Drosophila melanogaster: one gene and its partners. The protein of the gene in region 2 interacts with the protein of the main gene of each other region in a pairwise test. Each region holds a gene or a part of one and is shown on either strand. Other genes may lie near its edges.

Region 1 (8,073 bases), 3.2 Mb from region 2:
AGTCATCGCATGGGCAGGCTCGAATCGTTCCACCCGAAAACCCGCTCAACTGTATTATCCTGTACATCTTTCAGGGAAACTCGCCGTGACCAACGGATCGGCGTCGTAGGGAGACAGGCAGTCGTCGCAATAACTCAAAAACGCTAAATTCCACAAAACTTTCGAAACGAATTGAAAAGTTCTGCCATTTTCCGCTGTAATCTCGTCGTCGGAGCCCGCAGCTTAGCCAGCGCAAAATCGAGGTGTTCATTCTTTATATAGACCATAGCCATGTCGCACATGTTTCCAAGCATATGCTCATTCATCATCAGGTGGAGACGCATTGCCGCCTTCCCATCATCCATACGTGCATAATATACCTAGGCTAAAAACAGTTTGAAAACCAAATGAAAGTAATATTTTAAATTTTAATAAATAATACACAGAATAAGAACACATCGCGTTTTATTTGTTCGATTGAATTGTTGTTCGGGAACTAAAAAAAGGGTAAGCGTTTCCGACCTTATAAAGTATTTATCTCACTTTCAAGTTGATCTGGACATGTCCGTCTATCCGTACATTTGTGCGTATGGACGTCAAGTGGCGGTATAACTTGATTTTATTTATAATGTTTTGAAAAATTCGACTATTTCAAAGCTTTCTCATTAAATGAAAGTTAACTCGTTCCACACTGTTTATGTTTTTAACTTGAAAAGCAAGTGCGCCCTATATTTAGACCTGGTCGCCCATTAAAACTAGCTTCAAAAAACTTACCCATCTTGTTATTCTAATTATTGTTATTGACCGTACGCTACCGTTAATAAAATATTTGTGTCATCGCACTTTGCCACCTGAGATTCGATTGGTTATACAACGCCATTAGTGGCACCCCGCCCCCACCCCCTTCAGATCGAAATCGATCAGTGACGTAGTGCATCGTCGTTTGCCAATTCGCATTCTTGGAGCGTGTGGCGCATGTCACCACTGGCCATTAGTCAAAATTATAGCTATTTGTATGCGCAACCCCCCACGTCGAGTCCCAATAAAAAAAAAACGGCGCGCTATCTGCGGTTCAATGGGTCTCCACCCGTAGCCCCTACGGCTTCTTCTCTCCTGGGAGGAGGAGAGTCAACCAGGTCGATTGCTGGGCTCCACGCGTGACAACAAATCGATCGATCGAGTCCCAAAGCAGTCAACACGTCCGGATTATAAAAAGTCGATTGACTGAGAATTGGCCAATCAAATTGTTGGCGCACTTCAAACCGATCGGTCGAAAATTGTTGGCACACGGATTATTACAATTGGATAGCGGACATTGGCAAAGGATTAAGCATGCTGACCTGGACGCTGTGGTGTGGACTGCTGTTCCTGCTCTGGATCTACTTTCTGTGGAGCAGGCGCAGATTTTATCTGCTAACGCTAAAGATACCGGGACCACTTGGATATCCCATTTTGGGCATGGCTCACTGGCTGATGCGCAGGGAAGGTGCTTTGGATGTTGTGATGTTTGTTGTGTTGGTCGGGAGTAATAATCTGAGTGTCCGTGCGCAGATATCCTCAACGCATTCGGCTGCTTTCTCGACAAGCACGGTCCGACAATTTTCTCCTGGCTGGGGCCCATTCCCTTTATGATTGTGAGTGATCCCCAAGTGGTGCAGGATATCTTCACATCTCCCCACTGCGTCAACAAGGGCATTATTTACAAGGCAGTGGACGATGGCGCCGGAGTTGGATTATTCAGCCTGAAGGGTGTGTGTCTATGGAATCGAGTGTGGGAGTTACTTAAGTGTGGATTTGTGTAGATCCCCGCTGGAGCATCCATCGGAAGCTGCTGAATCCCGCCTTCGGCCACAAGGTGCTACTCAGCTTCCTGCCCATTTTCAACCGGGAGACGGCCCTTCTGCTCGATCAACTCGAACCACTGCAGGATGACGGCGAGAAGGATCTCATTCCACTGCTGCAGAGCTTCACCCTGGGAATTGCCACCCGTGAGTAAAGAAGAATGTGTTGTTTGTTTAAAAAAAGACTCATAAATTATGGCTATCACGTTTGTTGTTTGCATACAAAGTGGTCGAAAGCCAGAATGCATAATTCAGTTAGAAGAGTCGATCTGATATTAAATATATGATATACTTATATGAAAGCAGAAACCACCATGGGCAGCGATGTAAAGGATGAAGAGAGCTTCAGGAGCAATTCCTTGCTGGGGCGATACCAATGGTGAGTTTTGACTTGGAATCGGAATGCATCTATCCATTAATAGCATCCTGGAAACCATGACAGATATGTGCTTCTCTCCGTGGCTCAATAGCCGATTTTGCCGGCAGCTGGCTGGAAAGGAATCGCACTACTACCAGGCCAAAACTGAGATTCGTCAGTTTATTCGGAAGGTGAGCACCTCCAACTACTCCCTCCGCTTATTCACTTACGAATCTCTTAACCCCTTTAGATAATTGAGAGAAAGTTGGCCGAGGACGAAATGGGAGCACTACCTTCCATCCAGTCCAATGATAAAAACCTATTTCTAAATCTGGTCACGGATTTGATGAGACGAGGAGTGTTTACCCTGAAGAATGTTGAGGATGAGTCGAATATCATCGTTTTTGGAGCTTTTGAGACCACGGCTAATGCAGTGTACTACACCCTGATGTTGCTGGCGATGTTTCCGGAATACCAGGAGAGGGCCTTTGAGGAAATAAAGACGATATTCCCAAACACAGGAGACTTTGATGTATCCTACGCGGACACCCAGCAGATGGTGTACCTTGACCTGATCCTCAACGAATCCATGAGAGTAATACCCCCTGTTCCTGTCGTATCCCGACAAACGTCTCAGGATCTGAAGCTGTCCAATGGTATAGTGGTTCCCAAAGGGGTCCAGATCGCCATCGACATTTATCACATGCACAGAAGCAAAAAGATCTGGGGTCCGGATGCGGAGACCTTCAACCCAGATCATTTCCTCCCCCACAACATCCAGGACAAGCATCCGTACGCCTATATACCTTTTACCAAGGGCATTCGAAATTGCATAGGTAACAGAGTGATCGCTAATTTATGACCATTGTTTTAGCTATATTCTTATTATTTCCTTCTGTTTAGGTTGGAGATATGCCTTAATATCGGCGAAAGTTACATTAGCCAAGTTATTGCGGAATTATAGGTTTAAAACGAGTTTTCCCTTCGAAAATCTATACTTTGTTGAAGATATTACGATGAAGTTGAAATCTGTGCCACTGTTGGAGCTCCAAAAGAGAACTTAAATGTTTATAGCACTTAGTGATTTTAAATAGATTATTAAAAGTTGTTGAATTAATGGGTTCTGTGAATTATACCAATATTAAAAAATAATAACATCTACCTTTTATAATCTTTTATTAACTATTAATCAATTATTCCATTTTTTAAATTTATAGCATGATTTATGCTAACGTCTTTCGTTGAAAAGTTTAAGCAGCAATAATTATTAGTACATTTTCCGAAAATGTTGGTGTTAGCGTTTTTTTAACAAATTTCTTGTTTCATGAATTCGAATTAAAAAAATACTAAAAAAAAATACTTTGCGGATTTCCGAAGACTACTATCACACTAGCATTGACTTACAAGCCGGGCAACGAATTGAAGCATAAACAAACGATGTCGCTCACCGATGTCTTGGAATTGAACAAAACGGAGTTGTTCGCGAAGATTCGCAATGGGTTGCCCGTGGTGCAAAGGACTCAGAACCTGCTGGACTGCAAGGACGATCTGCTCTTTGCCTGGCACGCGAAGGACAGCTGTCTGTTGGTTCGCAACTGGCGCTCATCGCTGGCGGCAAAGGTGAATATCCAGTTCCAGACACTGATTCCATCGAGCTTGGTGAGCCTGGAGGTGGACCGCGTGCTGGCCTCCAACGAGGGCTCCCTCGTGGCACTAAGTGGACCGCGCGGCGTTGTCATAATGGAGCTGCCCCGCCGCTGGGGCCCCGATGGATACTACAAGGATGGCAAGCCAGTGATCACCTGCCGCACGTTCGGCCTGGACACTCAGCTTTTCCTAAAAAACCCGCACTTGGAAGTGCGCCAGGTCCGCTGGCATCCGCACTCCGTGTCAGACTCCACGCTGCTCGTGCTGCTCAACAACAACACGATTCGAGTGTACAATCACTCCAAGTTGCGCCACGTGTGGCAGGTGGGTCCCCCGGTGCTTCGAAGTGGGGCCAATAACTCGCTATGCGACTTTGGCGAGCTAGCCGTTGACTTTGACATCGCTCCTGCTGCAAAACCACGTGTCACTGAACCAGAAACAGCCGGCAATAACGAAACCACTTTGGATAAGAGCAACAAAACCCTTGTGGCGGCCAAATCGCTGCCGAAACAGGAGAGGATAGAGTGGCCCATGGTTGTGCTCCGCGAGAATGGAAACATCTACATTTTGATGACCGGCGTGGATTCGGAGAATACGCGCCTGCAGGGCCCCGTTACCATAACGCCACAGGCACATGACAATTATGGACTGGAGTCCTGTGCCCTAATGATTATCCCATCACTTCCGCCGACCATTGTTATAGCTGAATCCAATGGAAAGCTTCACCATGCTCTGCTTATGGAGGCGGAGGCCACTGAGCATTCTTTCAATGAGGTTGACGACTCTGTGTTGATTGAACCCGCCGAATACGTTGTACATGTACTAGAAACTGTCGAACTTGAGCTGGGAATATCTGCACCCGCAACTGGAAAAGAAGGAGGCAACTGTCCCATATACTTAAAGCGGGATTTGATCAATGAGCTTCGCTACTTTGCCTACCACAACGCAGGACTTCATGCCGTTACGGTCAGCTTTATCGCAGAGCTGCAACGTTACTTGGAAAGCGAGTCCGATGAAGATCGTCTAGAGCTGGCGGTCTCTGCAAGTGCAGAGTACATTCTGTGCACAAAATTCGATTCCAGTGAGACGGTGAACGCAGTCTTTGGACTTGCCCTATTACAAATTCCTGCCGGTATAGTTCTACTGCTGGGCAGCGGTCAGGTGATTAGCCTTAAGCTGGTAATTGATGCCCAGCTGTTGGTTACACCTAATGAGAATAAGCCAGTTGACTCGGAAGTGTCTCAGCAGGAAAGTGGGCCACCGTTTGTCGATACGATTAAATCGCTTTTGCAACGTAGTGTTAACCAGCCCATCTTGGCGGATAAACTTTCCTCGCCATCCGCCCAGGAGAGCTTCGAACTGCTTAACCAGGCAATCGAGGTGCTTCGTGAGCAGTACCTTAAACGACATGACCTTGTGCGCGCCGCATTTACACGCCACATCAACCAGATCCAGCTGAAGAAGGAACAACAGCTGCAGGAGATCCAAGACCTGGAGCAGGAACGCGAACTGATCAGCGAGCGGGCCCACAAGCTTGCCGAGCGCTTCGAGGAGATTAGCTACAACCAGGAGCTGCTCGTCCGCAAGTGCAACGCTCTGATGCAGAGGGCCAATGCCTCACTACCCAATAGTGTGATTGCGGAACGGGAGTTTTCGCAGGAGGTGATTCGACTTAATAAGGTCACCCAGAGCCTGGCCGCTGGACTGGAGACTGCTAAGAAGACGTTTAACAAGCAGCGCTACCACATTGCCCAGAGTCAAGAGGACCTCAAGAAGAACGCGTACGAGCTGCCGGAGAAACAGCACCGCACTATCACCGAGATACTTACCCAGCTAACCGGGGAGATCGATCGCCAGATCACCGACGTCAAGCGCATTAATAAAATCGTTGGCATCTAAATTCGGATTGGGAAGCACGCTCTTAAGATTTCACCACGTTTTCGTGATAGTAAAGCCGTTGCGTAGAACTAAAACGTATTTTTAATAAACATGTCAATTAAGTCCTATTTTCGTTAGCTGGCTTCTGTTTTTTGTATTCGATGACACTTTAATGAGCATACGTCAGCGTTTTCTGCTAGACGATCCTTCATGAAGACACAAAAACATTTGATACCCATGGGTATTGTGCTACAAAGTCTACTACAGTAAAATCTATTCTTGACGTACTGTCCCATTTTCCGGATTATAGTTCAAAAAGTAAAATAATAGTAATAAAATAATAATAAGAATAAAATAATGAATAATAATAGTAGACTTCATACATCATAATTCGGAAATACAAAGTATTGTAGTACTGCTGTAACATAGTTTTCCAACTTTCAGCTCCACTGTTATTAGAATACCACAAATTTTTCTAGTATTTGGTTTTTAAAGTATCGCATTTCGATCGTTACTCATTTTCTCTGCAAAGCAGAACCCATTGAAAACGTAATGGAAAAGCATTTGCAAGGCTAATGACACTCGCCCCAAGAATTGAGGGTTTCGATAGCTATTGCGTTTTAGTGACAGTCTAAAGCGAAGTTCGGCGGACGAGAGATGACGTTGATACTACTGGCTGCCCTGTCGAACATCTACACCGGGATGTTCAACTACGTGAAGGCCAAATTCCCGTTCGTGATCGAGGCCGCCATGGTGACCCTGTGCTTTGGCTCCATCGTGGGTCGATTCTGCATAATGGTTTAGAAGAAAACTGAGGAGACTCGAGACTGTGCGAATCGAAGGAACTTTATGTATATTTATATGGATGTGTCTTGTGGCCTTATGTGAATACAACTAAAAACTTAAATCTAAACCTGTGGCTTTTCGATCAGGTGAATGTAGAAGGCGGGGTTCTTCACCTGGCTCATCTCCTTGAAGTCACCATACAACTGGTGCTTGGCTTTGGCGGAGAAGATCTCGGCTAGAATCTCCTGGAATCGTTTCAGCCCGTGGGGATAGTAGGACAGACGGAACTCACTGGTCAACTTGTTGCCAGCGATCAGGTAGTCCATCGACACCAGGGCGGGCTTACCGCAGTAGAAGAGCACGGATGTCTTGATGTCCGCCGTGTGACTCGTCTGCAATTAGAAGCAAGTCATCATTGGATTATTGGATTAATTGAATCGAAAGATGTGTAACTGATAAGGCGATTGATGATTATGATGTGTTATGTGGGGTTCACAAACAAGATCATCCGTTCTTATCACCGCGATGATGCGACAATATTAAGCTATTTTCACAGATAGTTTTTAATTGAGGAGATGATTCGCTAGAATTTGTACAACTCACTATAGGAGGTATGAACTACACGCTAATTGGATTAGATTCTACAGATCGGCATTAGATTTTAAATGGGAAATTGGTACTTACATTATAGTAGATGCTCTTGGCAGGCGTAGCTCCCGTTTCCAGGATATTGTCGTAGTTGCGATGATCGATAAGCAGGACGCCTCCAGGCTTGAGGCACTTTTCGAAGTTGCCAATAGCCTGCTTGTGCTCCCGCTGATCCCCGAACCCGTCCATCAAGTGGGCAAAGGAGTTGCCCAAGCAAATGACGGCATCGAAACCATCCTGAATGTGCTCCTGAATGTCGTCGTACAGTGTCAACCAGTTGGCTTCCTCAATGACTGTAGGATAACAATAGATATAGATACAGGGCTAAGCTTATTGATCATTGCCCAACTTACCCCACTTATCGAAGGCAGCTTCATTTCGCCGGGCCCAGCGCTCCTTGAGGGCGTACTTCAACATCTTATCAGAGGCATCTACGGACACAACTTCGAAGCCCTCCTCCACAAGCATCAGGGAGTCCACACTGAAAGAAAAGTGTTGAAGATTAGAGCACAATAGAGCATAATTAAATTAGGGATTCTTAAAGGATTCATTAACTAGATGTATTGATTCTATACCATAGTTCAGATGAAAATGCGAGGATGATTTCCCATCTTACCCCGTTCCACAGGCCACGTCTAGGACACGCTTGCATCCCTTATTGCGCAGCATATCGATCAGGAAGTTCTTGTAGTTGTCCGTACGCGAGTTTTTGTCACCGATGAAGATTTCCCACACCTTGGCGGCCTTGCCATCGGCGTACTGATCCCGGACTCCTTCGGCGGAGATGCCATCGGATCGGGCAACGAACACACTGTCAGCGGAGGTTGTCATCTCTGTTGGTCAGCACTGGTCGGCGGATTGCAAGTGAATAATTTGCCGTTCCACCATCACGTTCGACGTCGCCTTTCCTGGGATTCAGAAGCCAACAGCTGGCGC
Region 2 (7,931 bases):
TACACTGAATTAGGATTCAAGCTGCAGTATTTCCTAATGCTCATGTGGCCATCAAATTGATTACTCAATAAAATGAGATGTTAAGACTTATGACAATGAATTTATGAAGCCAAACAATTAATTTTTCCTGTGTAGCTGTCGAAGTTGCTGTTGCCGGAGCTAAGGCTGGAGCAATGAAAATTGCTGAGAGCGCCCCGAGGGCTTCCAACTTGGATTGGGACTGGACATGGTTTGGACCCGGGTCTCTTGCCGCTGCTCTTGACCACGATCGATAAGGCTCGCACACATACGGCCACTTCAGAGACGTGCTTTTCGTGTAGGTTATGTTTATGAATTGTCTTGCAGATTTTTGCACACGGAATTATGCGTTTATCTCAGAGGGTTAATTTCACTGTTTGCTGCTGTTGTAGCTGTTGCTGCTGCTCTATTGTTGCTGTTATTGCTGTTGTTTTCCATGGCCTGGGTAATTAAATCGCAAGAAGCTGATAATATATGGAAAAGGGCTCAAAGTGTGCAGGAAAATGGTTTGTTTTGCCCCTTTTTTTGGCCAAAAGGGTTTTCTGGCTCTGCCGCTGCAATTTCTGCTGATGCGCTTGCTGCTGTGCATTTGCCCGCTAGGAAATTATTCATGATAACAGAGATTGCATTGATTGATTGTGTGGCTGCACTTGGGATGGGTTCGACTCGGATCTCCTGATCAGGCTTTGGGTGCTCCGGGGTGCTTTGCGGGGCTTGTGGAGGGGGCCGTGGGGTCGCTGGGTTCCTGGGAGCTGTTGCATCGACGGCTACCGAGTCTGAGTTATTTGGGCTATTAAATGTCTGTGATTTGGTCATAAGTTATAGGAACATCGACAATCAATTGTTGGCGGGTCTAGGCGGTTACCACATGTGGCAGTAGCTGGCCCCTGGCAGCTGAATACTGAAACTTAATAGTCTTCGAAAGGAATTTGGTAAGAGTACTGTATGAAGAATATTCATATTTAATATGGAAAACCCGATTGGCCTTTATTAGTTTTCCCATTTCAATTGAATTCATTGAATTTCTTTTTAATTCAACTCTTAGCATTTCACTCTGACACTTTGACCTTCTTACTCTCTTATAAAGTTTAATTACTCCTAATTAAATTACTCCAGCTATTAGCAACGTAGGTCATAAATAAATCCACCCAAAACTAAATATAACTGCAGAAATAAACCCAGTTAGGAGCCCTTAAGATATGCAATGAAAACGTTTTTGGCCTCGATTCGCACAGAGAGACAAGCCCAAAGTTGAACAACCCAGAAGAGGAGCAGAGTGGGGACCATGTATATGACCAAATATTGGCACAAATGAGCGTGTCTCTAGTGCATTGACGAGTCCCCCTTTGGTATCGATCAAACAGAAGACGAGCCAATACCGGAGAGATTCCAGGACAAGCCCCCATCGAATTGGTGAGCTGCCATGGCGACAATTGCATTGCTGCGAAGGAAATGCTAATGGGAGTGTTTTGGAATCTTGCTGACAGGGCACGACGTGGCACCAAACCCATTACCACGGCACACTAAACCATATATACCCATGGATGGGGGATATTGGGCCGAACGAGTCTATAAAAGCCCCGACTTGTGTTTGCCGCCGTTTCAGTTCAACTTCATCGCGTCGTCGTCCTGTCGCTCACTCTTTTGCAGAAGCAAAGAAACAATTAAAGTGCAACCGCAAGGCGGAAGGAAGTGCATACCACAAGTGATTCCCCTGCTCCATTGCCGAGTTGCATGTTGGATTGTGCCACAAACTTTTAGCCAAGTTCCCCCCATGCCCCCATGCCCTTGTGTGTAAAATGAAAGCAGACAACTTCTTCAAGTACGGCGCCCCTTTGTACCAACCGAAAAATACCAACCGGAGCCACTCGCACTCGCAGAACCAACCGCAAGCCCACACCGGCAACATCGGCCATCTGACATCGTCGCCGCTTCTGACGAGCGACGACCTGCGTCATCTCACCCAGCAGCGGTCCACCGGATACTCGGACAGGGAGAGCATCGCGAGCGTCAGCAGTGCGGGTGGCCGGATTAAGAGGCGATCGAGGTAATACTTTCGGAAGGAGGAGAAGGGCGCAAGTGGGAGCTAAAACTTTCGAGATGTCTTGAGATGTGGTCAAAAGTTGTTTTCGTTGTAGTTATTTCCTTAGGAACTGACAGATGCAGTTTACGTCAACTTCTCCTTGCGAATAACAAAGCAGCTGCACAACATTGTAGGGTTAAGTCATCAAAGGGCACCTTAGGGAATAAAGCTTAAAAAATTATTTTTTAATTGTAAAGATTTTTTTTTTGTGGTCTTCGTTTTACAAAAGTCATTTTATTACAGCCAGGTGAAATTTAGACCATAACAGATTTTAAGCAATGCAAGAACGTAGAAATCGATATATTTTAATCAAAGAAACAAAAATAATGGAAAAAATCATGTCTAGATATATTCTCTTATGTCTTATCTCTTAAGTCTGGGCCGTATATATTGTTGAGTAATCTAGAAGTTATATTAGACTTCACTTAAGGAACTACTTTTAAAATCGTGTGCTCTTTCCTATTATATAATACTTCATTTTATAACTACAAAAATTAAAAGTTAGAAATCTTGGACTTACATTCAACCCAGCTTTTTTTAAATTCCTTAGTGTATGTTAACACTGATAGATAGTTTGAATCATCGAGTTATATGTTGCTCTATTACCACTTGCCATGGGGTATCCAGGATTTATCAACCCTTGTGGAGGTGTTTGCTCAACCATGACGCATGCACTCGGCCACAGGAGCAGGGTTAAATTTTTATTTTGGCCAACCTGTCGTCCTGGCAACAACTGCAACACCAACTCCAATTGTCACCCCGAAAGGCAGCTTCAGATAGGTTTTTTTCGTTTCGGGCACAGTTCCATTTTCCACTTCAGTTGCTGAGCAACTTTGTTCCGTAGTCAAATTCAGTCTAAAAATGTGATCCTAGATGTGCCCTCCAACTTTTTTTTAACTTTTAGAAATTTCCCGATGAAGTCTTCGAAGGGAGGCATCACCAAGAAGTGCAAGACTATGGATTACACCAACTACGCCTATAATGAGGCAGTGGGTCGCCTCAAGGTAATGCTGGCCGACAACTCGTACGTGGCACCCAAACTGGGAGGAGGAGTGTCTTCCTATTTGCGCAACCTTAACGAGGATTCCGGGGACAACTTCTCTGACAACCTATCGGTTCGTTTTCCAATCAATTCAGTGCAAGGAATTCCTGTAACACTACATATACTTCTATAGGTAATTGAGCGACCCGTCTTCTCGGACATTTCCAAGTACTTGTCGCCCAGCCAGAAGTCGCGGATCAGCTCCTATCGCCCCAAGAAGAGCTATGCCTCGGGATATCTCTCGGCTTCCAAGGAGAATCTAGCTTCCACTCCTTCGCTTTACCCGAGCGCCTCAGTTCCGTCTGCTCCTCTTCCCTCGGACAGTGTCCCGGCTCCTGTGGAGATTTTCAGCTTTATCGAAAAGCAAGAGGACTACATCGAACAGCTGGAAAAGGAATCCAAGTACTGTCGCAACGAGCTGACCAATCTGTTGGGTAAAGTCAAGGATGTGATCAATGAAAATGAGCAGTTGACTGAGAACGCTCGCTCTGAGTTGGTGGGTCTCGGTTCGGGAAATTCGAAGCATCCAATTGTCACTACTAGTCCTTCCTCGGACAGTGACGAGCACTTGATGTTCGCCAGTGGACGTAAGACCCCGTCGACCCCAAGGAAAGGTGCCTCCAAGGGACAGGTGCAAAGTCCTCGTTATGCAAGTGCACCCAATATCGTTTACGAGGCCAGAATCAGCGAGCTGGAAGCCGAACTAATGCAGGCCAGCATCGATCTGAGGCGTCTGCGTACCGAGAACGAGGAGCTAAAGCGGAAACTGAGTCATACGGATCCCCTAACCACTGTGGCCACCTTGTCCGGGGGGTCCAACTGTGAATTGCATCGCAAGCAGCTGGAGAGCCTGCAGCAGGATAAGCAAACTCTGGAGGAAAGTGTTCGACACTTGCAGAGGCTTCTGGACGAGGCAAAGGCTCAGGGCCAGGGTAGCGCCTCGTCCAAGCGATATATCAACGACTTGATGCAGATGGAGCGCTCCCAGGCCGAGCTGGAGGTACGCCACCTCCGGGATGAACTGGATCGCCAGCACGAGCGGGTCAGGGAGCTGCAGCACGAGATGGCTAGGCGGTTGGCCGAGGAGCGGGCCAGTGCCGAAAGGCGCTACAACAGCCAGGTGGATCAACTGGGCGGAGATCTGAGTTGCCAATGGGAGCAGGTGTCCAAGCTCCAGTTGGATCTGGAGCGTCAAAAACGCTACGAAACAGATCTCAAGCGGGATGTGGCCAGTCGCAATTCGCAGATCGAAGAGCTGAAAATGGAACTAAGAGCCAATAGGACCACCTTCCTGGCGGACATGGCGCAGGTGAATGCAGAGAAGCAATCTCTGGAGCAGGACATCACCTCGCTGCGCCTTCAGTTGGATCGGGCTGCCAGGGAGGCCAAAACGGAGGCAGCTCGTCTTAATGCAGAAATAAATTCGCTGAGGCAGCGCCTTGATCGCGGGGATGCTGATCTCCTGCACTCCAAACGAGAAGTACTGCGGCTCAATGATGAGATAGCCAATCTTGAAAAGGAGGTAAATCATAGTATTCATTGTATTAATTTTTAAGCCTGTTGTTTGCTTATAAAATTAATGTTTATTGCACATACAGCTTGCTTATGGGGAGTTAAAGAACGAGATACGACCTACCAAAAAGGATCTGGACAAAAGGATCTCTGAATTGCAGGATAAGCATGGTAAGTGGGCCGAGTTAACACTTTAGCTGGATTACTTCTATCTTTCTACACCCTCTTCACCTATCACTATCCTCCCTATGAACTCTGGTTAAGCTATTGATGCTCCTATTGTGTTCTGCGTGTGTGTCAAATGATATAAAGTCAACTATATTCCAAAGATTCGAACTCGAAACCAACTACAGAGAAATATTCAATAGTTTATCCATGAGTTTGTTCTGTAGCGCGTTGCATTAAGTCCCATATCAAAGTACATAAAACATATATAACTAAACCGTTAAATGTCTGTTTGTAGCGGGAACGGTAAATGAGCTTGAGGAAATGATAACATCTCAGAAGCAACTCATGGATAAACTGACCAACGAGTGTAAAACCTTAACGGGCAAATTAGAGGACACGACCTACAAGCACAAGTAATTATGATCAAATAATACCTAAGCGTATCTCACCTAGCAATTCTGCAAACTCAAATCGATTTGGCTTTTAGAAATCTATTTTATACTATAGTGTAAGTCTAAATAATACCAGTTCGATTAAGTTTATATAGTCACAGTTAATTATTACAAAACGACACCCAAAAAGGTATGTGGGCAATTGATTGAAAGCCTTTTGACATACGGAAACCACCGCACATCGCAATATGAAATTCGAGGCCAAACCAAAGTTTTCCCACCAGTACATTCCGAACACCAATTTTCTTTTCCGAGATTCATTCGTTCCACACCAAAGCAAAAGCAATAAAATAAACATCTCGACCTAGCTTGAGACTGGATTAACACGCTGTACTTGTACTTCTTCAAACCTTTCTTTTGCTGCCTACCCGCCACGCAAATTTCATGGTAATTAGAACCAATTTGCGATCTTGTGATGCCAACAACAACAAGCGAGCCCTTGACCCCAACAACAATATCAGCTCCTACAGCATCAAAAGAAAGCGCAAACGAGTTCACTTTGCCGCCTAATCTGGAACTGACCGATTATCCAGGAGATGCGGCTGTTGATGTCGCTGCTGCCACAACTGCGGATGCTGTTGCCGGCGATGGCGATGAGATCCTGCAGAATATAATCAGAAGCAATGAGCGGCTGGCCAAGGAGTTGGCAAAGATGCCGCCGCTTCCCAAGATCTCCAGCTACAAGAAGTCCAGAGCCAGAGCAGAGGCACCAACGCCAATAGCAGCAGCATCTGCAACAGCAGCGACACCAGCGTCATCCAAAATCAAATGCTTTTGCCCCAGTTTCATGCGGCACAGACACGAGCATGAGCACATCCATACGTTGCGCAGACGCAGCAGCGGCAGCAACAACAGCAGCGAGACGAATGTTGCATGTTGCCGCAACAACAGCAGGGCAACAGCAGCAACAGCAACATCATCAGCATCGCCAACAGCAGCAACATCGTTCAGCAAAGCTCGTACACAAACCACGCACAGCAAGAGCATGAAATGTCACGGCCATGAGTCCACCGTAGACACGCACCACCAGCACGAGCACCACCGCACCACAAGCAGCAGCAGCACCACCATCGCCGAGCCGCATCATCATCCTGGCTGCTGCCATCCATGCAAAACGGATCCGTTGCCTTGGCTGCAACAGCATTTAGTTTTGAACCAGATCCTCAGTAGTAGTAGTGCCACCGCCTGCCAGCCCACGTGTCACGTGCAACACTTGACGGTGGATGCTGATAGTATGGCAGCCACATCGGCAGATGCCACATCCTCCACTGCCTGCAGAGGTCCTGGCAGCAATGCTCTTAGCGCCAGCATCAAGCCAAAGTTGTACTTTGAGCAGCTGCTGCGTCGTGACGGTTGCCACAAGAAGCCGCGTCCGCCCGTCAAAGTGGACGTCAATGTGCGCCTGGTGCCCAAACAGCCCATGCCGAAGGTCACTCGGTCCCTGAACGAGACGTTCGTCAAGGAGGTGGACGAGGTGGCACAGGCGATGAACGAAACCTTTGTCAAGGAGACGTCGCCGGAGCTGGCTCGGATCGATGAGCAGCTGGCAGAGCTGGAGAGCAATCGAGAGCGCGAGGATCACGAGGATCACGAGGAGGTGGACGAGGAGACGGAGGAGCAGGAGCAGGCCACCAAGCTTTGATAACGTTATTCTAAGCCACAAGAATAGTATTAAGTTTTAGGTATATGCATAGGGATAATCCATTTGATTATATCAATTTATAAGAATATTTTCATTTCCTAATGAAACTATTTATAATTTAAAGCATCATTTACGTGCAATGAAGCGTAGTAAATTTAGATTATAGCACTAGTTCTTATTCTAGCAGCAAATTGTATTTATTTTTGCGAGCTTTTAGTTTGCCCTGATTTATGTTGACATATTTTCTGTTTTTGATGAACCACAGTCTGGAGAAGCAGCAGCTGAGAGCCACAAACGAGCAGCTAATGTCACGCCTTAGGCAAATCTGGGGCAAATACAAGGCACAACTGCCAGCGCACCAGGGATCCCCGGAGCTGAGCTCCGAGGACATGCGGGAGGAGCACCCAATAAAATCCGTGACGGTACCTAACAGTATTTAACTAATATCTTTTTCCCTCTTTCTTTCTTCCATCTGATTCTCTTTCTATCTTTCCGTATCTTGATCTGTTTCCCTACATTTAAACTTTCTTGAAGAGAGGAAATATCTGCTTTACAATCGAATCTAGAGTATCTGTCCAATCGAATGTTGAGTAATGAGGAGCATATGAGTAAATTAGATAGCTCACCACACGATTATACTAGCTTAGTACCCGGAAAAGGTAAATTCCCCAATTCCCGTCAATAACCAAGTAGAGCACCTCCATCCCATAGTCCCTAATTCTAAACTGATTTAACCACTCCATCAGAATCGGAAGCTGAAGTCAAGGAGGCGGATCTGCCCGATAAAGACCCTATTTAGAGCCTCGACTCACACGACGACTCCACCCACACACCTATAACACTTGATTGGCGATCCACTCTAATCAAAATTCTTGTACTCACACAGCCGCTTACGACTACCAGGCAGCGACATATGGCACCCCAATCGAACCCATACAAAGCACCCCACAACCACACAACAGCGCCAGCGACAGTGATTACACGTCCGGAGGGATTGGCTTGGGCGATGGAGCA
Region 3 (7,884 bases), on a different chromosome or scaffold from region 2:
TGCGCCAACAGAGCGTGTTGCTCCTGGGCCGCCGTAAGCTGGACACGAAGCTGTTGAAGTTCTCTCTCTGCCACTTGGAGGGATTCCGCTTGTTGTTGCTAAAAATTTTTTTTATTTGTTGCATTAGAAGGTAAATGAGGTTCAAGTTCAAAGTTCAATCTCACCGATTGTGATTCCAATAGTTGATGTGAAGTTTTGGTAATGGTATCATCGCCTTCACCGGCTGCCCTGCTCCTTTCCAGCTTAAGAATCTCTTGTCGGAGGGCAGTAATCTGTTGTGGTTGATTATTATCTTCGACATCAAATATGCCTAAAAATCGATTACTCACCTCCGCATCCTTTTCTAAACGCAGTTGCTCGTGAGCGGCCCGCGCGTTCCGCACATGTTCCACCTCGCTGTCTTGATCCTGCTGCAGTTGCTGTAACTCACGCTGCAGCGATTGAATCGTGGCATTGCGAAGCTTTATCAACTCCTTGGACTTTTCGAATTTCTTCGATTTGGCCTCTAATTGACGCCGCAAATCCTCGACAGCAGTGGGCTCTTCGTTTACCCTCTGTCCAAGATTATGGATTTCCTCCTGAAGCTTAGAGATTTCTTCCCTGAGTCTGGAGTTTTCCTGGCCCAGTTGAAAGACTTCCTGATCGGCTTCTTGGCGCTCGCGTCGCAACTCCTTGCTTACCAGATTGGCATCTTGGAGCTCCGCATCACGTTCTTGGATAAGTTGCTCCTGCTCTTGTATTTGCTGCTTTAACTGACGCAGGGCATCGCGATTTTCCAGGTTGAGATGGATCTTGGCCTTAAGGTCTTCGTTAAGCTTGCTGACCTGTTGCTGCAGTTGTTCAACCCGATGGTTGTCCACGATGGGTTCACGTTCCACCTCTTCTTTCTGCTTGACAAGCTCCTGCTGTTCTTGAAGTTGACTAGTAAGTTCCTGGACCTTCTGCTCGAGATCGGCATTGTCCTGTGTGCGTTTCTTGAGGTTAAGGGCATACTTCTTGAGTTTCTCGCGCAGTTCGCGGTTCTTGAACTGCTCCTCTTTGTGGGCATGTTCTAATCCTTGATACTCCTGGATTTGCTGGTTCAGGGCATCGACAGTCTCCTGGCTGGAGGTCAACTCTCTGACCTGCTGGGCAACTAAACTTTTGCTAACGCGCAGAGCCTCTCGGAGCTGATCCGGATCCTCTTTGGCTCTCAATTCGCGCAGCTCCTCTTGTGCTGATTGCAATTCCAGCATCTTAAGGTTAAGCGCGTGCTCGCTTTCGCTGACACTCTCAATGAGTTGCTGCTTCTGCTCGGCAACTAGAGTCTGTAGGATACTCAGCTCGCCCTCCAGAGATTCGGCTCGGGCCTCTAACTCTCGACGAATCCTTGTTTGCTGCTCCAGTTGCTTCTCATGGCTCATTTCCTTGGAGTTGAGCAGCTGATCGAATTGCTCTGATTGCAGCTGGAGTTGTGTGATCTCGGCACTCTGCCTGGCCACCAATTGCAGCTGTTCTGCTTCGGTTTGACGCAGCTCCTTGATTTGATCTACCTGCTCCTCGATCTGCTGGCGTTGCTCGGCCTGCAAGGAGCGTGCGTCCTCCAGCTGGGACTGCAATTGCAGGATTTCATCTTCCCTTTGAGAATCGGAACCAACTATGGCCAATGGCGCTTCGGTTTCAGGATAGCTTTCCCGCAATTCATCCAATTCCTGGCGCAATCGGGAGATCACCGCCTTGAGTTCCGCGTTCTGTGCGTTTAGCTGCTCATATTCCGCAAGAGCTTTTCCGTTGGGAGCGGTCACGGCCACCACGGTCTCCACAACGGTAACAGTTTCTACCGCCGTGCTCGCTTCCTTAACCTTGTGGAGAAGCTCACTCAATTGGGTGTGACAGTTCTTGGCCTCCTTGGCCAGTTTCTTGGACACATTGAACTTGGCCTGCCTATCGTTGGCCTTGCGATAGGCCTCCAATTCAGAGTTGAGTTTGCTCAGGGATTTCTCGCATTTCTCAAAGAGCACGGGGCCTCCTTCGCCGGCGTCCAGTGTTGCGACAACTTCGGAGGAGCGTTGCATTGAACTGAGTTCCTGCGAGAGATTGGATGAAGTGGACGTGGAGGAGATCAGATCCTTCTCACGTTCACGCTGCAACAGCTGAAGAGAACTTGAACTTTCCTCCAATCTTGCCTGGAGTTGCAAATTCTCGGCCGACAGTTGCTCCAGCTTGTCCAATACCTCTCCGCGCTCCTGGGTGAAAAGTTCGAGACGTTCTCTAAGCTGGGAAAGAGTTTCGCCAGAGGAATCCTCCTCCTCAGTTTGCTCCGTCTGAGTGAGCTCGCTGACGTGACTTGGCCCTGGTGGATGCACTTGCTTCTGCTCCTGGGCGTCGCCCTCGCTGGCCGGACGTCGTTGGCCTAGGCACTCTAAGTGATGACGCTCCACTATTTCAATGGATTCCGCAGAACTGGATGAACTGAGTAAGGCCTCTAGGGCCTGTTGCAATTCCAATTTCTGCTCTTCCAGCAAACGAATTGTTTCCAGCTGCAGTGGATTATTGGACTCCGTCGATTGCTCTGGCTGGCGGTCGTCCTCTTGCATGTTGGCCAACTGCCATTGACCCTTCTCGTCCTCGAGGACGGCGATCCTTTGCTGCAGTTCCTCGTTATCAGCCAACAGTGAAGCCAACTGCTGTTGGCCATCTTGGGATTGGAATTTCTGCAGCTTCTTTTCCGCCTGCTTGCATTTCAGCTTTAGCTTTATGTTGGCCTTGTTAGTTTCGTCCAGCTTTAGCTTCAGCTGCTGCAGATCCTCCTGCATCTGCTTGCTGGCGGCACTGTCCTCCGAATGGTCCTCCAGAAATAGGGGCTTACTGCGACTGCTTTGCGCGAGTTTCTCCTCAAGGAGACGCAGATTCACATTGAGCACATTGAGTTCCGTTGTCTTTTCTGCGAGTTCTTCGTTTTGGGCAGCCATTGCCGACTTCTGTTCCTGCAGCTCTAGAAGCTGCGCCGCTATGGTGGCTTCCAGTTCCTCAAGGCGCTGGGAAACAATCTCATCGGTCACCTGGAGCTTCGCCTGGGCAGCAACTTGCTGACGCAACTCCTCATTAGTTGCCTGTAGATCAGCCAGCTGGTTGGTAAGCTCCTGGAGCTGTTTGGCTAGCTCCGCGCTCACCTGTGCATCGGTATGCGCTGCTTCCGATTGCGGACTGCGGGAAGCCTTTTCCTGCTCTTGTTCCAACTCCAGATTACGCTGTCTTTCGCGCGCCGTGGTCAGCTCTTCCTGAAGTTCACAGCGCGTCGTTTCTAACAGGTCGTTGACGTTTTCCAGCTCTGCTAGTCGTTCTCTTAAGACTAAAACTTCGCCCTGGAGGCGAGAGTTTTCCTGCACCTTCAGGCTATCCTCTTCTGCCTGGACCACACGCAATTGCTCTAACTCCTCGTTTCGCTGGGTGAGCGTGCGCTGTAATTCCGCACCGGATAGTTCCAATCGCTCGATGAGTTTAGCGCGCTTGGCCAGTTCTGTACGCAATTCATTTAGCTCCTGTTCCTGCCGGCCCTGCTTGAGTTCCGTCAACTTCATACGACTCCTGAGCAACTTCACCCGGCTTTCGTCCACCGCCTCCTGACCCTGGGCCTCCAAGTCCAAGGCAGAACGATGGCGGGATACGGGTGGATTGGAGACAGACGCCGCGTGTCGTAGGTCCGTCATGGAAGAGCCCAGCTCGGCGGTCGTTTGGTGGCCAATATTCGACTTTACAGAAAGAAGAGACTTGGCCAGATCCCTCTTGCGCTGCTCCAACAAAGCACGATTTTGTTCCGTGCGCTGTGTGAGCATCAGAAGCTTCTCGCTGCCACTGGTTTGGAGTAAAGAGACATCACCGGGGTCGCTGTCCTTTGTGGGTGAGACCAGTGGAGTGGAGGAGTCGCCGGAGCGCGTCTTCAACACGGTGAGCTTCTGACCCAGTGTCTTAAGCGACTCCATGGAGTCACTCATGCTGGACTTGTGTCGCTCATCCTGGGATTTCCTTAAGGCGCGTTCTTTTAAGGCAGTGAGGCGCTCCTGAAAGCAATCATTTCGAGTCATTTAATGATATGAACCACTTGATTCACAGCGCCTAACTCACCTGCTGCTTGTACAGATTCTCTTTAAGGCTATCCAAACGGCCCTTGCCTTTGGTGCCTCTCGTTGTGCTGGCGGATACATTCTGTAGGGTAGATTCAACAGATAATATTGAATCCTGCTTCACTTGGGGGATTTGTTCAGATTTACCCACCTGTAACGAGGACAGATCGTTGGAGCTGCCCGCTAAGCGTATATCCGCCTCGCCATATTCGTGATCGTCGGGCTGCAAGTGGTCATGATCAGTATGGACGCATGTACGTACAGGGAACACCAAGTGAAACCCACCTGAACGATGGAGAAGTCGTAGGAGCTCTCCAAAGCACCCGAATCTTCCGCCATTGTCGTTTCAATTACAAAATATTACTAACTATCCTAGCGTACCGGACCAAATGCAGCAGCAATAACAAAAAAAAAAAAAAAACCAAAAACAAACAAAAACACAAATCGGGGGAATCGGGAATATATATGCGGACTGGCTATCTGAAGGACCGATTATATATCCACGGTGGCTGCGCAGCGCTAGCTATCGACATTGACTGCAACGAGAGAGGGTTTACCATATAGCTAACATATATCATCCGCTTCCGATCGGCTAGAATTGTCTTTAGCTTTGAATTTGCGTTTCTTGTTGTTCTTTTTATTTTATGGAATTCGTGGCACTGACGTGTGCACCTCTCTATAGATGTGTGCGTGTGTGTGCGGCTGTGTGTGTGCGAGTGGGGCTGTGTGTGTGTTTTGTTTGCTGTTTTTCCAGCGCTTGTGTCGATTTTCGCCTGGTTTCTGAGTTACAAGCCACTAAGCACTAGATTGCAACGTAAGAGCTTTCTTATGTGCACGCTGACAGATGTATATTTACCAATTCTAATTAATGCCAGCGTAAAAACAATTCGATACCAGGGCTGCGCAACAACTGAATAGGGTCACAAAGCCCTGGTAAGTTATCGAATGACAGATGGCTCGATAGCACTTGCGCTCGTAATCAATCAATCGATTACAAACTAATTCAAAAATTTTGCATTAATTTCAAATTGATTTTATTTATTTTCATACAACAAATTATACTAGTTTGTGTATATAACTTGTTATACAACCGTTTAATATGTCTGATGCTTAATTTTAGACATGATTGGTTAATTTTTGGTTTTGGCTAATAATATTATTGCATACAATGGATACATTAGTAAATAAGGACTACTTAAAAACAGGTCAGGGATTCGACACTTAATAATAAAAACTACCACGACAACATCGTTAATATGCGAGTTATGCAAAACTGATAATAAGGAACCATTAGACTAGATGCAACACTTAAGTACAAAAGAAATAACCCTAGCCTCCAGTGTTTGTTTTTTTCTTCATGCTGCAGGAACAAGGAACGAGGTATGTATGGTTCGGAAGAGATTTCTATGATTTTAGGACCTCCATAACCGCTGCGTGTCCGCCGCGCTCCGCATAATCCATGGCGGTCAGGCCGAGCATGTCCTTCTCGTTCGGATTCTCGAAATAGGGCAGGACGTATTGCACCACCTCCGGAAATCCGTGCAGTGCTGCCACGTGCAAGGCCGTCCTGCCCGAAGGATCCGACTGGGCAAGATCGGCACCGGCGTATTGATAGGACTTCAATCTGATCATCGATCCCCTAGCAGCGGCCGCGCACAATTGCTCGCCCACCGCTCGCGAAGAGCCCGTCAAATGAGCACCACAGTTGATGAGCAACTGGATGATCTCGTGGCTATCGGTGGCGACAGCCTCCAGAAGTGGAGTGCGGTCATACCGATCACGCACGTGCACGGACACCCCGTTCTGCAGTAGGTACTTAACGATCTCCACGTTTCCCAGCTGACAAGCCAAGTGTAGGGCCGTTCGCTGGTCATGATTTGTGCCCGACAAGTCGGCGCCATAGGCTTTCAAGTTGTTGATCTTCTTGGGATCACCTTCGGCCACAGCGGCGTTGATCATGGCCGGAAAGAGCGTTTCGCCCAGCTGATCCAGTTCTTGGGGCGAGGACAAGTGCAGAGACCGTGCCACTGCGTCCACCAAGTCGTAGTCCTCCATTTTGGGAGCCTTTAAGGAGGTCAGTTCGCCCCTCAGGCTTGACTGCATCATCTATGAAATGCACACATTGTGGATTATCCATATTTATGTATGTATTGAATTATAGTCGAAACTTACCTGCTTCTTCATATCGAGTGACCACTCCTCCTTGCCGATGACATAGGCCAGCTTGGCCAGCGCCGCCTCGGGCGTCATATCGAAACCGGGAATTACACCGACATCGCAGAGCACCTTGCCCGTATCGTAGATCTCCGCCACTGTGCCATTGGGACACTGTGTACAATTGATGATGATAACGCCTCGTTCACCAGCCGCACGCAGTTCATCGATGAGATCTTTTCGGTTCGATGGTATGTTTCCAGATCCGAAGGATTGCAGGACAACGCCGCGAATCGGTGGCGCCAGGAAAGCCCGGAATGTGGAGTGCGAAATGCTCGGAAAGATTCGCAGCAAGCCGACGTTCTCGTCGAGATTCAAGTGTACGCAAAACCTTTCAATAGTGCATGGCCGGAATATCAGGCGGTAGTCGACGTTCACATCAATGCCGATCCTGGCCAGTGGTGGAACATTCGGTGAGTCGAACGCGTCTAAGGCATTCGAACTGACCTTCACCGTCCGATTGCCGCGCATCAACTTATGGCCAAAGAAGATGCAAACCTCCGGAATGATGTAGTTACCGGCTATGATCAAGGCTGACGTAAAATTGTCCTTGCCATCGGTTCGCGTCTCAAAGATGGGTATTTGGGAGCCCGTGATGATCACCGTCTTGCCCAAATTTTCCAACATGAAAGACAATGCAGATGCGGTGTAGGAAAGCGTGTCGGTGCCATGGAGCACCACAAAGCCATCGAAGAACTCGTACGATTGCTAGACAATAATTTGGAAAGGATTAATATTACCTTTCATATATATATATATGTATGTACCTGAATATCGCTGGCGATTCGCGCCCAATCGTTCATCGTCATATTGCTGCTGTCCAGCAGCGGTGTATATTCCGAGATCTGGTAGATAACCCGGCGATCTACGCCCTGCACAATGGGCAGCACCAGTGGAGCCATCGATGCAGATGCTCCAAAGCGGCGCAGCGCGTACTCCTCATCGTGGATGTTTGGATATTTGCGGATGCTGCGCACCAGGGCATTGGGAATGGGAGCTAACACTGCGATAATTATAGAATATTAATATTGATAGTCACAAACTCCGTGACAAATTAGTTTCCTAATCAAGATGATGATTTATGGTCACGCTTCGTGTGTCAAATGTTTACTAAAATACCTAATTAGACCACTCAATAAATAGCAAGCAAATAGTCAATATTTAAATAGAAGCATCAACAATCTGTTGACTGCCAATTGATTTGTTTTGTTTACATTCATACCAACAATTTCAACTTTCATACATATTATTCGAATAAAATGTTTTCAAGTGCATTGCTCTTATCATATCTGGCCATTTTCTAAGACTCCCCTTGTTAGTAAAAGTGGGATCTTATCTACATGGACAGATTCGGGCAATCCCAATGAATCCTCGTATTCGTGACATTCTGGGCTGCTTACCATTCCGCTCGTTGCGCACCATGCCGATGGTGCCGCCAGTGTAGATGACCTTCACCCGGGCCTCTTTGACATCCTGGGCCATGAGTTTTCCATCACTTTTATTCCTGCGGATCGTGGGACTCGGCAGAGTGGGCGATGCCGGCGGCATGCTTTTGTCCAGCGAGGCC
Region 4 (7,191 bases), on a different chromosome or scaffold from region 2:
AAACCCAGAAACATTGTACCCACATCAAAGATGTTGAGTCCCCGCCAGATTGAAACCCTTACCAAGTGTTCCACATCCAATTGCCACCATTGTTGGCGACAGATTTTAGCCGCTTGTTAGTGGCTAACAGTGCCGTACACAAATACACACACCGAGAGCTGGGTTAGCATCGAATCCTTGTCACATGCTGGGCTACACCTTGAACCCGGAGACCCGCGTGCGATGGATATTTTTCTGCGGCATTTTCCGATTTTCCCGCTTTTCCAACAAAGCATCGTTTACGGGAGCAACCGCAGCGCCGGCACAAGGTAACCTGCACACACATCCCGACCGTATAAACCATATAAATAAACAAAGCTCTGGCCGTCGTTCATCGTCCGGCGTCCCTACGCACTTTGTCGTGGAGCGAGAAACGAGAGGCAACTGTCGAAACTGTCAGGATGTCAAATAAGCGACAGTGGGTGGCAGACAGCAGGAAGTGCGGTGGCTCCGAGTCCAAACCCAACGCAGTGCAGAGGAGAGTAGTACAGGACCAGAACCAGAACCAGAGGCGGTATCAGGATCAGCAGAAGGACCACAACCACCCTAGGCATATTTATTGGAAATCTGAAACAGCTCGGGTGTCGACACTGCGAGAAATAAGTTACTTCTTTTCACTATAAAACCGATTTTGTATGCTTTGCTTATGTGGGATTCTTCACACAGCTTATTGGCTTAAATTATATAAATGCAGGAATAATTAGTCATTTTTACTTTGTTTATATATTTGCTAAATGTTTTTACTATGAATAATGTCGTTAATTAAGTTTCTTCATAAAATGGATAGTAAAATATTCTTAAAATAATTCTCCAAGTGCTCCTCTTACACCCACTCCAGTGGCGAACACTCCTGACCATGTATCCGTGTCCGGCATCGGGCACGAAGAATTTGTTACATGAAATTGTTAACGGGCTGAAGCCGATGCCTCGACTCGACTGCGTTTGATGCCTTTTGCTGATATATGGCCAACCTTTGACATCCTTTAAACGAGCAACATGATGCTCTAGATTATGGCCAGGAGATTGGCCCGACTTTTCCCCGTTGACTCCTCGGTTTGCCCGGATTGTCTCACTTGGGCGATACGTCAATGTGACAGTTTGATAATTTATTTTGTTCAAATTTTGTTTTTCCTTCGCTGGGGAAAAGAGCGCTTAAATAAGTTATCAACGTGGACCGACGGCCATGTAAATGGCAGCACGTAAATGAATGAAATTATTTTGCAACAAATTAAGGCAAATTTATGCGTCAAGGCGACAGGACAGGGGATTCGAGATGGGTAAGGGAGATGGGATCCTGGAAGCCTTGTAACAGGAAACACAATCCACAGGCGAACAAACAAAAGCGAAAACGGAACAGCACGAGGCGAAACGAAACGAAACGAAACCAACAAACAAACAAACAATGAAACGAAAAACGACAGCCTCGAAGAGTGAAAAGCGACGAGTTTTCCTTCACCGAAATCTGAGCAAGGCTTTGTGCAACAAAGTGAAGAACCCGGCTGCCCCTTTTCCGCATTTACAAATCCCCCCACCCCTTTAACGGGTCTAACTGCGTCCGCTCTGCACTTGTACACATCCTGACATACACATATATATTTTTTATTTCCCAGCCAAGTGAGGCTGGAATCAAATGTCAATAGAGAGTACATTTCATTCGGTCGGGTGACTGGGTTTTTCTGCCCAGCGCCACCCACTTTTCAGTTCCCCGCATTGTAGCTGTCACAGTGTTTGTTTGCGGATTTGAAGCTTTTCCTCTTTGCAACGCGCTTTTTTGCCACGCCTGCCGTTGTCCTTTATCGAAGGAGCGGCTTGAGTATTACGAACTGAATGCAACACCTCGATATTCTCGATACCTTATTTAATCTCATCGGCATTATCAAAATGAATCCACTTATCTGCTTTCATACTTTTTGGAATATTAATATAGTTTCTTGTATTTAAGAAATAAAATGTGTCAATCAATGTATTGCTTTTCTTAAAGAAATTTTTCCAATTTAATTTATATTTTTTTGGGAAATCGTCACCTAGAGCATTTCGAGTTCGTGTGGCCTTCCTCAAGGATCTCTAATCTGCTTTCTGGTTCGGATTCTGGTTTTATTTCCGGGCATCCTCCGATGCTGTCCGCCCCTTTGCCCGCCCACCGACTAGATGCTTTGGACTTGCTTTTTATTTGCACGGAAATGTATAATTTTTCCGAGTCAAATGTAAATACTTTTAGCGTATTTTTGTGGGATTCATCGCCTTGAATTTTTTGTGACTGGGGGCCTGGGGCGTGGCACATGCAAATGACACGCCTGATGCTGCGTAAATAATTTTAGCGCTCTCTCTTTTGGCATAAAATGCTAAATAAACATTTTATTCTTGGCAGAATTCCTTCTTCGAATGTGGGTCAAATGGAGTGTCCATAAAAGGCGCTTTTATCCCAAAACCAGATGCCGAAAATACAGTTTAATTGTATGCATATTGGCTGCGGTTCCGTTTGAGTTGGTGGAAACGTCACGTTTCAACAGCTCAATTTTCGGTTTTGCGATACGCGAAGAAACTTTTGCAATCCAATTAAATTCATCGCAAGTCGAAATCTCGTTTTGACAATTTATGCATCCTTGTGAGACGCCACAGGCATATTTATTCCCATCGATGGCTAGACAATGACGCCTGCGGTCCAATAAATAACCGTCCTTTTGACACAATCGAAATTGGCTCGCAAACAAATTTCTTTTGTCGAGATATCGCCCTTTTTTTTGTGCCCACTCGCACCAGAGGTTAAACACTTAACCCGCGTTGTGGGAAAAATGTGACATCAAATTATGGAACGTAGGCAAATCGCGGCCGTTATCAAAAAATGTAGTAGCCATGGTAGCCAGACTGAAGTCCACGATATGGTTTGATTAAGCGAAGTCGTGGGGTAAATTTACAAGAAAAAAACGAAACGCAAATGAGAGCGTCAAATATATTAAGGCATTTGCATTGGAAGTATTATATTATTTTTCTAATGATCATGATTAAAATGAATTACTGAATTTTTTCCGATATAAGGCTAAGCTAGTTAACATAGATTAAAACATCAAAGCTAACACATCTAGTTCAGTCTGGGCAGAAATAAAACTTAAACGTATAAACATTTTATATATCCCAAAAATAAGAAGTAGAACCTAAAAAAAAAAAACAAACACATTTTGTCTTATAACCATGACGACTAAAAGAACAAGGTTCGATAAAATGAACCTGGGAGTACCCGTTCACTCGGACCCCTATGAAGTGGAAAATGAATCGGCCTCGTCAATAAAAAGAGAAACCGGCGAGAAGGTCATGTCTCATAAGGAGCTAATGGAAAAACTGCATAAGGAGGTGAAGCTCACGACGCCGGACTTCTTCGCCCATGATCCATCCTGCAGCTCGGACGACTCCGAAGATTTCGAATTCCTGGAGACTATCAAAGAGCGAGCCAGACGCATATCCTTCGTACGACGCCGAAAGCTGCACTACACTGAGTTCTCAACGGTCGAGTTGGCCAGGCGTCTGATCCGCGAGGAGTTCACAGAGTCATCGGAGAGTCAACTAAGCGTGGATGATGAACATATCTCCGAGATCGCCGAAGAGGAGTGTCCGCCCTGCGGCACAGACTCCGACGACTTACTTCCGTACTTCCAATACGATCGGGCTACAGACCAATCGATGATTTCCGACGACAGTCTGCCAAAGGAGGATCCCGAGCCCGGATTCCATCCCGCCCATCATTGCTATAATAAGCTTATAAGCCAGACTCCTGATCCGCCGATAGTGTACGTTCCCGCGGAACCAGAACCGCAACCGGAACCGCAACCGGAACCGCCAGTGGAACCGCGACCGGAACCGGAACCAGAACCAGAACCGGAAACAGTACTACCACCAACTGCTCCGGAAGTCATTGATAAAACAGCTCCAGAAGAAGAAAAACACACTAGGGTCCTTGACCGTGGCGAAAATATTGACCTAAAGAATTTGAGCGCCATACAGAAAAACATAAGTTCGAGTGTGAAAAAACATACTGGTCAAAAAACGCGAAATTTATAAACTTAAATTGATTGATGCAATTGATGTATATGGGATCCCATTTCTCATTGTGCATTAGATTAGTGTTGCCTAAATTAAGAAAATGTTTCGTTGGCTGGAAATCAAAATCCAATCCGTATAGCCCAAATGCTGCGAATGTTTTTACTTCATATTCCAGAAGTTATATAAGGCTTTATTTTAATCGTAAAGTCAAATAAACCCATATTCGTAAATGCATACAAGCTAATGTAGACACCAAATAACCGTAATCGCCTCTGATCTCAAATGACTCCATCAACGCTCTCTTTCCCCAGCGCAGCTTTAAAAATATAGTTTTCTCGACCCGGAGACCGCACAATTATTTGGGCCATAAAGGACAAAACCCGCACTAGCGCACACATGAAGGGACGGAGGACATTCAAAGGGATAACTAAGTGTGCACGATAATGACGCCTAACGGGTTCCATTCTTCTCCTTGCTTTTTTTTGCGTGGGTGGATACTAGGAAGATGAGACAATAAGGAGCTAGAAGGACAATGTGCTGAAATTATTTCAAAAGTCTTTGTGTGCGATGAAATTCCGTAAAATACAGCCATTTTGTATTGGCCTTTTAATTTAATAAAATTATTACTCTTAGGGATAATATGGATTGGTTTTAAGTTTACTTTCTGTAATATGTAATTAATATTTAGTTAGTTCAATTCATAAACAAGAATTATGGTATTTTCATTCATCACAATAATTGTCAAGCAAGTGCCGATTTCAATTCTTTTGTTTGTTTTCAGATCTGTATGAGCTCAACTTACATTACAATATTTCATTTATTATCCATACCCATTTTTTTCATTTATGCAAGCCAACATGGCTTTGTAGCCTGTGCGTGTAAATGTTTTTGATTCTTTTAAAATATTTTAATTACGGAAGTTTACACATACTATTTCTTTCTTTTGTTTTCTTTTTTGTGTCGGTCATGTTTTCCCTTTCGATACCGGTCATTGTTTTGTTTAATTTTTGTATACACGTTAAATATGTATAGTGATAAGAATTGTGCAAGTTTTGTTTGAAAAAACTGCCACGTCCGTCGGTAACTCTCTTACCTCCATGAGCTAAAAAACAATTTACAGCCTACACTTTTGAAAACCGAGTCAATTACTCTCCAATTATATTCGATATCGGATAGGCGAAGAGCCACAGTATCTTGTTTTCTCTGGACATGTTAAACCTAACTTAAATTTTAAGAGATGCAATATAAATATAAGTTTAACATCAAATTTAATGCCGATATATAACTTCAAATCTAGCAGTATCTTGTGTGGCACATCACTTTGGTGGTGTAGCAATTAAATTCGTCGGACTTAATAGCGTTTTCATTTAAGTAATCTTCAACAATTTCAACCCAGACGTTCTCGATTTTTGGCCAATTTGGCGTTCCTTTCGGCCATGAAATGGAAATAAATATCACGTCATACGATCTGCAGCAAAATCGTCATTCGCCTAATGAAGACTTTGTTGTCTATGAAGGCTAAAGCTGGAAATGTCTAGACATTCTCGGTTGCTTGAACCCCTCAGCTGTGGATGCAGTCCCAGCTGCTGCCCGTCTGGAGTTAAAAAACAAGTCGAAGAGATTGTAATCCCTACTTTAGTATACTACAGCACTTTTATGACATTTAATTGCCGTTTGCTTTTAGTCCACACACACGCTTCTTTTCTCGAAAGTTTGTTTTTAAAAGGGATACAAGGCTAAATAAGTATTGAAAAGCGAGTGCAGCTGACCTTTCCTTAAATTGACCTTAAATTGAAGCAAGCAATTCTCTATTAAGTGATGTGAAGAGAATCCTGTAACTTGGCACACCTCAAACAAACCAAATTAAAATTAAATGTATTTTAGGTCATCGCAATGTGCTGAAATTAATCTTTAGCATGGCAATTTGGTTAATTTTTTATGGGGCCCACAAAGTGACACGTCATGCCGGCAAATCAAGCGAAGTGGTCTGCAAGTGCCTGGTCCTAATCATCATCCAAACATTGTGGCCAGTCATCGTGACTTATGTCAACCCGTTCAAGTGTGTCCCTGCTAGAGTCCTTGCATGTACATGCCTCGTGTAGCAAGGATACAAAGCAATTGTTCACCGCAATCGGCGGCATTTGGAGTGCTTTAGACTTAATGTGCGTCGAGGGGAGCCAACTGCAATCGGCATTCGTCGATGGCAATCGAAGTTTCTAGCGATAGGTGATCGGTAATCAAGGATGGAATGAGTTCCCATGACTGTTTTGCATTTGAAGTGGCTTCATGTTGCTTTGTTGCTCTAGATAGAACTGCTTAGTAATTCAATTAAATGCCTAATTAATATTAAGTATTTTTGCGGCTTTGTAACACATTTATTTGAATTTACGACTTCCATTTTTTTTAGTTTTTTATTAAATTTATATGTAATGATATCATAAGCGGTAGACCAAATCCCCCAAATGCCACCTTGATTGATTGAGTGATTGATTGACCTTATTTGTAAGCACTCATGGGACAGTTTACCCTTTTGACCAACTGCCATCGAGCGTGAAGCTGTCAAAACGTGGCTATGGAACGGAGCGGACGGTATCCATAAAATATGGCTTAAAGCCAGGCATCACGTGCCATGAGTGTTGACCCCAAAAGAAAACCGAAAATCATAACTCAATGTCGGGCTAACCAAGTGCAAAGCGCGAAATTAGTTTACACTTGAACTCGTACAGTCCGCCCACCTGGTTTTCCTTTTGCACTTTTTCGACTCCACACCCACGGCTTTCCACCAGCTCTCGTCGGCCTTCTTTTTGCTGCAGTGGCAGTTGCAGTGGCAGTGGCAGTCGCAGTCGCAGTCGCATTCGTGTTCATGCATAAACAAAATGGCTGCTGCAACAACCGGAAACTGACAGCAAACGACATTTGCGATATGCATCATATGTCTCCCAGCTTTTCCGCCCGACCCACCCCCTGTTTTTCCGCTGTCATTTTCGTTGATGCGGGGGCTGGGGGGTCGGCTACTTGGCATATTTCTGTCGTGTCATTGTTCCTTGTGCGTCTTTTTGTGCAGCTGCTCCGGCTCATGCCCCTTGTTTTTCCCAGCGAACACCCCTTTTACCCAGC

What was found.
Region 1: the proteins of CG45105 (region 2) and mbo interact in a two-hybrid assay, tested with the Drosophila melanogaster proteins (one large-scale study listed by BioGRID).
Region 3: the proteins of CG45105 (region 2) and lva interact in a two-hybrid assay, tested with the Drosophila melanogaster proteins (one large-scale study listed by BioGRID).
Region 4: the proteins of CG45105 (region 2) and CG12620 interact in a two-hybrid assay, tested with the Drosophila melanogaster proteins (one large-scale study listed by BioGRID).

The regions. Positions count from the first base shown.
Region 1 is NT_033777.3:12,674,544-12,682,616, reverse strand, and holds mbo (members only), read left to right. Parts: upstream 1-3,564; 5' UTR 3,565-3,615; coding exon 3,616-5,724; 3' UTR 5,725-6,130; downstream 6,131-8,073. Other genes in the region: Cyp313a4 (cytochrome P450 313a4), read left to right, coding at 1,312-1,465, 1,531-1,728, 1,782-1,967, 2,127-2,199, 2,243-2,369, 2,429-3,014, 3,082-3,242; CG43630 (uncharacterized protein), read left to right, coding at 6,361-6,507; Gnmt (glycine N-methyltransferase), read right to left, coding at 6,612-6,881, 7,174-7,430, 7,491-7,618, 7,754-7,968.
Region 2 is NT_033777.3:15,911,691-15,919,621, reverse strand, and holds the start of CG45105 (uncharacterized protein), read left to right. Parts: upstream 1-1,614; 5' UTR 1,615-1,817; coding exon 1,818-2,065; intron 2,066-2,899; exon of another isoform or gene 2,900-3,005; coding exon 3,006-3,216; intron 3,217-3,276; coding exon 3,277-4,665; intron 4,666-4,741; coding exon 4,742-4,826; intron 4,827-5,118; coding exon 5,119-5,236; intron 5,237-5,670; coding exon of another isoform or gene 5,671-6,917; exon of another isoform or gene 6,918-6,957; intron 6,958-7,182; coding exon of another isoform or gene 7,183-7,339; intron 7,340-7,451; coding exon 7,452-7,576; intron 7,577-7,803; coding exon 7,804-7,931.
Region 3 is NC_004354.4:3,960,313-3,968,196, forward strand, and holds the start of lva (lava lamp), read right to left. Parts: upstream 5,016-7,884; 5' UTR 4,443-5,015; coding exon 4,389-4,442; intron 4,327-4,388; coding exon 4,255-4,326; intron 4,186-4,254; coding exon 4,105-4,185; intron 4,041-4,104; coding exon 330-4,040; intron 273-329; coding exon 165-272; intron 99-164; coding exon 1-98. Other genes in the region: CG6428 (uncharacterized protein), read right to left, coding at 5,508-6,209, 6,276-7,025, 7,085-7,320, 7,718-7,884. UniProt on the Drosophila melanogaster protein: Lva and spectrin may form a Golgi-based scaffold that mediates interaction of Golgi bodies with microtubules and facilitates Golgi-derived membrane secretion required for the formation of furrows during cellularization.
Region 4 is NT_033779.5:17,084,497-17,091,687, forward strand, and holds CG12620 (uncharacterized protein), read left to right. Parts: upstream 1-3,144; 5' UTR 3,145-3,228; coding exon 3,229-4,092; 3' UTR 4,093-4,690; downstream 4,691-7,191.